Arabidopsis thaliana: one gene and its partner. The protein of the gene in region 2 purifies or fractionates together with the protein of the main gene of each other region. This does not show direct contact. Each region holds a gene or a part of one and is shown on either strand. Other genes may lie near its edges.

Region 1 (4,027 bases), on a different chromosome or scaffold from region 2:
GCAGAAATGACCGAGACAGCACAGAGAACAAGACTCTGCCTCTACTCGAGGTAACTACCTACTTTCGTTTTAAGAGTTATAGAGGAACAGTTTTGTTAAAAACCGAGGAAGGTACTGTAATCTTGGTGAAATCTTATGCAGATTAGGAAGAAGAACAATGAGAAAAGAGTCCGAGATGAAGAAGTATCATCAGTCAAACGATTGAAATCAATGTCCGGAGGTGGGATACAGTTGCCTGAGTTTGGAAATTGCAGGCAAAAACCAACAGATGATATCAACACAATGCTCTCGCTCTCTCTGTTGTCGACATCATCAGAACCGTAACCAACATACTAGAGAGATGAAGTTTAACTTTAAAAGAGATTCAAGAGTAGAGACTTTTGTTTTCCTTAGCCGTTTCATGGGATGAGTACTTAGCCAGGATCTGGATCAGGCTTGAGTCAGATCCTGCAAGTACTTATCCTTAGCGGTTTCTCTGCATTCAATACAACACCAATTCTGGAATGCAACAAAACACATGTAATAATATGTTTCCTCGTCAAAACCACCAAATCAACTACATGGCAAGTCACTAGTTTGATGAAATAGTAAACGATAATAAAAGTCCTAAATATATAAGAATCATGATGATGATACCATAATAAGACAAAGTCATAATCAGTATCCAAAAAAATCACTCAAGCAGAAAGAATAGAATACTTAGTTATAACGACATTAATATAAAATCTTCTTTTCTTGGTTCACCTCCTCTTAGTCTTAGCTTTGAATCCACCACCAGACTCATCAATGTCCTTCTTTAGCTTTTTCGACTTTTGCCCATTCTTACTCTTCACAATGTCTGGTTTCCCACTCACTGCAGACTTACTACTACTCATCTTCTTCCTCTTCTTCTTATCTCCAGAAGCATTGAGATCATCAGCAACCTCATCTTCTCCAACACTCCTATCGAATTCATCATCACCAAGAGTCTCAGATACATTACTATCCATATATCTAACCTCATGAATCTTTCCATTCTTCTTCTTTGTCTTCACACTCTTACTACTACTATCATCAACATCACTTTTAGCTAATCCTTCACCATTCTTAACTTCTTCAACACCTAAAGGATCAATCTTGAGCTGCAAATAAGGCACTGTCTGATATAATGGCAAAGATAAACTCTCAGATAACTTCAAATGCAAAGATCTTATGTATTTCCACCTACTAGGCAAAACATCAACAACACCATTCAAAGTCGCCGTCACATTCTCAACGATATCATCGCTTTCCATGGACAATTTCGCAACTTTGATCGCACTACAAGACCCAGTCCTCATGAAGAACATAGCAGCACCACAAGCTTTCTCAATCTGCTCTTTCCAATTCATATGCTTCAAATCAATAGCCACAGGAGTCTTCTTGCTCTGAAAGAACTTCTTCCCAATCAATTTTGGCAACATAGGAATCACTCTCCGATCTGAGAAAAACATATCGTATGAATCACAAAGCTTCCGTTTCGATTCGAATGATCCATAATCCGATTTCAGCTTCGAAAGCTTAACAACTTTCGTGATTGGTATGTTCTCTGATTTGATATTCTTCTTCGCATCTTCCTCGGTGAGACCACTTTCAGGTCTGTCGTCGATGATGAGACAGAGCTCCGGTGAGTCTTCGGTAGTGTTAATTAGCGGATGCGGGAGAGGAATACGATAAGCGTTCGTAAAATTCCTCTGTGGAATCTTCTTTAGGGCTACGACTAGGTAAAAGAATCCGTCTTCTTCTAGAAGCTGTGGCTTCTCCGTCCTTGATTTTTCGTTTCCCTCTTTGACCAGAGCCTTAACTGCATCGTCCACAGTCTTGGGACTTACTCTTGACATAAGTGGTGGCGGCGGTTGCGGCTGAGCTGCGGTGGTCGGAGGAAAAGAAAAGTTATTTAGGGTTCTGTGAAGGAAGATTCAGGGTTTACGGAGGACGATGACTTTTAAACGAGTTTGTTTTGGGTTTCTTAAGGCCCATAATATTGGTTAATGGGCTTAATTATATTGTTTTCATAAATTGTCCTCAAGTTTTTGCATCGGAGAAATCTTTTCTATTAAACGAGTTTGTTTTGCGTTTCTTAAGGCCCATAATATTAGTTAATGGGCTTAACTATGTTGTTTTATAAATTGTCCTCAAGTTTTGCATAGGAGAAATGTTTTGAAGATTTTTTTTTTGTGTGGTAAGAGAAACTTTTAGAAGATGGTAATTGGTAAGATTTAAGATATAGGAAATTATGACAAACTAGCTTATTTTATCAATACATGAAATCTTTTTTATTTCATGTTAATGTAGATATAGATATAAATTTAAAATATGAAATTAATTATATAAAATATGAGTCATGTAGTACTTGGCTGTCATTTACCATACTTGTCTAAAACGTACTTACCAAATATATTTGATGCTAATTTTTATATACAAAGAAATAAAGTATATACACCTGGACAATATAATTATTAATAAAATTGTTTTCTTTATTTTCAAGTTTTTATTCCCTTCGCAAAATGTCTAATTCCTCTTATAGCTCTTCAAACTTTAAAAATAAATATTTCTTTAAGAAAAAAGTGAGAATCACATTAATTGAAAATGTCAATATTTAGATAACCAAAACAAAATTCTCAAACACTTTTCTTTATGTAAGTACTATATAAATGGAGGGATTTCTTTATAAACCAAAATGTGTGATATCTTATTGAGTTCATTGAGAGAATACATGAAATGATAGAAATGTCAGGTTTTTGACAAACAAAGAAATAGCCGCACTGCCAAACACTTTGATGATCTGTTGTTGTTGACGTGTAAGTATCATAATCAACATCAATATTGAAGTAGGATGAATTCTCTTGAGTCATTCTTATTGCAATCTTTTTCGAAGATTGAATACATTCGTTGATTTTCTATTATACTCTTTTCAAAAAAAGTTCATCCTCATTTTTCATCAAACTCTTGTTAGATTCTTGTTCATTTACATCATCCTCTTTTAAGAAATCTATCTCATATGCATGAACAATCTGATAATATATTGTCATTCATAGTGTAATGACTATCAAATATGTATCTTGTTTCGAAGATCTTTGAGATAGAAATGGATGACAAAAACAATCCATGTAGGTAGAGGACAAAATTGTACTTATGAAATATATCCTGTGAATAAGTGCTTCTCGGCACGTGACTCATAATCCCTCGCACGTGACTTGCTTCGTCACTTTCGTAAAACCCCTTGACTGTGTTTTTGCTTCTTCCGCCATCAAAATCAAAACTTTCAAAACCTCCAAAATCCAATTTTTATCTCATGAATCTCTGTTGCAAATCTCTATGCATATACGTACACATACTCTATATGTGTGTACGTTTAGCTCTTTGTTGCTTGATCATGGCAATCTTCAGATCTCTCTTCTGTCTTTCTCTTGTTTCGCAGTGCGATTTAAGCAGATTGATTGCTGGATTTTGGAATTGGAAGGACGTTTATCTGCTTTCTGTGAGTTTTTTCATAAACCCTTATTCTTCTTTTGCTCTTTAGCCTTTTCTTATATGATTTTAGACCGTTTGGTTTATGGGTTCTTGTGTGTTTGAATCCATCGAAGTTGGTGGGATTTTATTTTGAAATGGGTTTTGAAATCTATGCAGGAATTTGAAATTTTGCAACCGAGGACTTGAAAATGGGAGCTAAGTGTTGCAGAGGTCACCGAGGATCAGTGGTGGAATCAAATGGTTCCGTGATCTTGTCGTAAGTTCTGAGGCTGAATTATTGAAGTGAATCTCTTCTATAAGTATCGAAAAGTCCAACACTTTGAATAAGTTTTGTAGCCAGTCTTTGAGAATTGTCTACTAGTTAAATGCTTTGATAAGGAATATATGGAATGCAACTTAGTATGTCACTGAAACATTTATTTCTGCAACAGTATATCCGAGTCTATATTTACTTAACCATTCTGCTTTTGCCTATGTAGGTTAGCTGACCTAGAGGTCCAAGCTACTGGTAAGCGAAGTTTGATTCTTAATATTT
Region 2 (4,450 bases):
TCTCTCCTTTTTCACTTTTCTTACTCCATCCTATTCCTTCTTTAAAGCCACACACTCTCTCTTTCTCATCTCACCTCAATACGTGATCTCCTTGATTTACATTTTTTTTTTTAACAAAATCTTTTTGTTCATTAGGAAAGAAGAAATAAGCAAAAAAATTAAGGATAAAGTATATGGAACTTGTTTTTCCAATCTAACTTACCTAAATTTGTATAGGCAAACTCCGTAAATCCAATAAAAGTCCCATACATGAATTAGGAAACAATTTATCCCGCATTATCTGCGGATAGAAAACAAGAAACAGAAAGTTGATATTTGATTGAGTATATTTAAATGAGAGAATATCGTATTTTCGATTTTATATATATATATATATATATATATATGTAATGTTAAGGAAATATATTAAGACATAATAGTATACTTATACTTGTTTAAAATGAGAGAACCCGTAGTTTATGTATATATTTTTTTTTTATAACAAAAATATGTTAACCAAAATTTAATTAAAAAATATGTTATCAAAATTCATAAAATGTTGAAAATCTACAACTAAACATTTGTTACGTCGGAGTTGGAAGTATCGCCTTTCCGTTTAATCTTTTACCAAAATCTCCGGTGGGTTCTATTTTGTTCAACCGCATTCGCCTCATAGTATCTTCAACCCCTTTCGTAGAAAACTGCTTCTATCCCTAACATCACAACTCTAAGCTCACCTAGTCAAACGCAATAGTTTCGGATTGCTAAAAAACAAACAAAAAAACAAAAAACAAGAAATTATCAAAAGAGATGGACGACGTGTGAACGTTGTTGGACTGCTCTCAAGCCCATGGACCACAATAATTTTAAAGACAAGAAGAAAAACTTGCTTTAAATTATCATACGCATGCCAATTAATTCGGTCCCAACACCATCTATAAATCTGTAAAAAGTAAGCAAATTGAGTAAGAAATTCCATAATGTGGCTGAATAAGAAAAACAAGGTTTTCAAGATTGATTTGCCAATATTAGGATAGGGGGTTCTTGAAGATAAGTTGATATTCTACAAAACATGTAAAGCAAGCAAAACTTTGACTTAAAACATTTGAATGCAAACCATGTGCCACAATATAAAATCCATGTGATAGTGATGATATTAAGAAAAATTTAAAGGGTGGAGTCAAAATCTTGGCTTCCTAAGAGGTTTCAACGTCTGAGAGATCTTCTCGGTAAAGCTCTGACAGATCTTCTCTGTAAAGCTCAAAGTCACTAGGGCTCCATCTGCAGAGCAAGTTCAGCTTGAAAGTAGCCATCTTCATTCGCAATAGACGCTGCAAAGTAAACAAACAAGTATAAGAAATAAAGCATACAAATTAAAAGGAAAGGGTTTTGGTATACAGAAGTCTTATTACCAAAATGTGGGCTGATTTTGGCGAAAGTTGTTTTCCTTCTTCACAAACTACAAAGTCAGCGACCAACTCCACAGTACCTACATATTAAAATAAGAAGAAGAAATAAGTTTTTGGATTAATATAGATAGCAAAAGTGAGTATGAGAAAGAGGAATATTAAGATGGTGAGACGACAGACCTTTGTTTAGTCGTACAGGCATTTCAAGCTTCCGAAGAAGTGGTTCCATCTCATGTGTGAACTGTTCTAGAGGACCTTCCTTCAGTTCAACCTAATCATTTAGGTGGTACCAATATAGTAATTAAGATAAAAGTAACGAAACAAAGTTTTTTAAATAACAAAGAGAAGCAGAGCCTGATCATAGTCAAGCTTATTTATTTATCTAGAAACAACAGTATATAGAGATGGCACAAGTTCTGTTCACAAACCGTTTCTACTGCAATGCTTCCGGTCCTTGAAAAGTCGGAATCCTCATAAGCGTTAAATAAGCTGCAATACACAACCAGAAGAAGTATTGTGAACAGTTACAACAACTAGACATGTATACAATTCAAACCCGTCACTGTTGTTTCACCAAAGCAAAAGAGGAAAAAAGAGGACGTCAAGAGATACATAGATAGATACCTTTCGACTTCTTCCTTTGGCATATCAGTAACAAGAAGTCCAGTATCACCACGAAGCAGCTGAAACAACATTCCACAACATATGTAAATCTAACTGACAAAAAATGACCATTTAACATAAAAGAACCATTGTAAGAAGCAGAATACACAAACCTTGGAGACTTTGTAGATACCAGAACGGAGTTCATCTTCTGCAGAACGACCAAGAGCAACCTGCATCACTTTGTTCGAACCTAGGAAGAACCTAGACAAATAAGAACCGAGTCAGTCATAACATTCAAGTAATTCTAACATCAACCAGAAGAAGGACAAAGAAACTAACTTTCCATTGTGCCTAAACTGCTGCCTAAACTCCTTGAATTTGATATTTCTCATGTTTTCAAAAGAGAAAACATAGACAGAGGAATATTTTTCAACAGCCTCCCTAATTCCATTCACAATACACTCCTTATGCTCTCTTCCTTTCTTCTTCGTCTTAGACAAAGTCACTGCAGCAAAAAATCAGAAAACAAAACCCTTAGATAAACCATTCATCAATCGATTCAACCATAGAAGCTATGAAAAAACATTACTAACTCCAACAAGTTAAAGTTTTTTTCAAAAGGGTTCCTCTAAAAACCTAACAAAACCCTAAAACCCTTGACGGCGGCTACAAAAGTTACAGCTTCCAAAACCAGTGACAGAGATACAATGGTTCAGACAATAGAGAGCAGAAAGAGTGAAGGAAGAAGAGTTCTAACCTGGTCTATCTCGCTTTGATTTAGGCATAGCTGAGGTTTCAAATGTTGTATGGAAGTGAGAGGAACGAAAGTGAAGGAGAACGGCTTCTGTTTATTAAGCTCCTTTCAATTTTCTTCAGGGAAACTGAAACCCTTGTTCCCTTGTTTGCTTTAATTCGCACTTTTTAATCTGGACCCCTAATTCAACCCGATCCGGATCCGGCCCGTTTCAGGCCTTTTAGCTATCAGAAATCTGGGCCGATTTTTTTTTGTCATTGGAGGGTGTACTAGTTTAAATTTAAATGGATTATAGTGTTTTTAGTTTTTTTTGTTTTGTTGTGCAAAAGTTTTTAAGTTAAGAAATTAAAGTTTTAAATTTAATGTTATAAAAATTAATTAAAAAGTGGTACTTTCAAAATCATATTATTAAACCTCTTAATAATGAATTATAAATTATTTATATGAATGCTCGGAAATTAAACAATGTAAACGTATAGGGAACAATAGGAACAACCATTAGTAGTGAGTAGTGATCTCACTACTGGCAATTTGTTCGAGACTAAGGGGATGGGTCCACTCATTTGTAGAAGTCCTCAACCCTTCTCATGCTCGTAGTAGTCGCCGTGGCTTGTGTTTTGTTCTTGGACGAGAAGTTTATTTGGGAAGGTAAAAGACAATTTATTTATTAAGATTTGATAATATTTATAAGCATACACTATATTATTGTTTTCAAATTGAAGTGTACTTGAAGCAATATATTTATTTTTATTTTTACTAGGAGCAATATTGATTGTATGTGGGCTATATATATGTCGTGCTATATGGCGAAAAGATCAAGAGATGAGTGGAATTAGTTCCGTCGGGGGAATTAAAAAAACACACAAAAATCGCTCGAGATTGTTATAGCTAGTGGTATTGATAGTGGCTCGATCTATGGCATAAAAGAAAATGATGGAAAATATATGACATTCAATTGGGGTATCATAACGTTCTCTAGAGGTTTTTTTGTGTGTGAAATTTTAATTGGGTCAGTATGAATATAACTTTTTTTCTTTCTCATTCTTATAATATGTATGTATGAATTGATACTTGGTTTTCACTTTTGGTCGTATCATCTTTATGCAAGTCACATGAAAGAGAGCAGAAGAATGGAAAGAGAATCCAAGCCCAAAACTTCCACATTTGGATCTTTACCAAGTGTATTTGGCTTTACGTACGCATGTTGCTTACTGACAATAATGATATACGAGCCTTTTTCTTTCTTTTGGAGTTCTTGTGTGTGGCAAAGCCATCGCGGAAAAGCCACAAAGCATGCTTAGCACGTGTCAACGTCAACCTAATATGTTACTTTTATTTATATCTTGTTTAACTTCACAATTATGTTTTAATAAATGTTAATAGCACCGAGCATGTTTCTGCATTGTCATTTTGGCTCATATAGTAAAACGCATTACCGTTCGTATAAGAATGTGTGGCATCGATGTAAATGTATAATAGTTTTCTTGTCATGTTATAACAAATGCTTTTGCAAAAAAAAAAGATTCTTTTGCAGTGAAACGCTCTTGAAAGCTTGTGGAGCTCCTTTCATAGAACGACAATAAACAGTTTCGTCTTATTTTTGCATTACGTCTTCACTTTGTATTCTGTTTTCCCTTTGATCATGAATATACATTTCAACACATAAACTCTTTTGTTTTTCTTTTCTTTTGTCTACAAGAAG

The links.
Region 1: the proteins of AT1G25260 (region 2) and AT2G42650 fractionate together in Arabidopsis thaliana (co-fractionation; one large-scale study listed by BioGRID). This does not show direct contact.

What each region holds. Positions count from the first base shown.
Region 1 is NC_003071.7:17,763,362-17,767,388, reverse strand, and holds AT2G42650 (Ribosomal protein L1p/L10e family), read right to left. Parts: upstream 2,212-4,027; 5' UTR 1,860-2,211; coding exon 741-1,859; 3' UTR 501-740; downstream 1-500. Other genes in the region: AT2G42660 (Homeodomain-like superfamily protein), read left to right, coding at 1-50, 142-324; AT2G42640 (Mitogen activated protein kinase kinase kinase-like protein), read left to right, coding at 3,681-3,748, 3,972-4,000.
Region 2 is NC_003070.9:8,852,988-8,857,437, forward strand, and holds AT1G25260 (Ribosomal protein L10 family protein), read right to left. Parts: upstream 2,888-4,450; 5' UTR 2,780-2,887; coding exon 2,752-2,779; intron 2,500-2,751; coding exon 2,334-2,499; intron 2,256-2,333; coding exon 2,165-2,255; intron 2,072-2,164; coding exon 2,013-2,071; intron 1,878-2,012; coding exon 1,817-1,877; intron 1,660-1,816; coding exon 1,569-1,659; intron 1,469-1,568; coding exon 1,392-1,468; intron 1,311-1,391; coding exon 1,176-1,310; 3' UTR 547-1,175; downstream 1-546.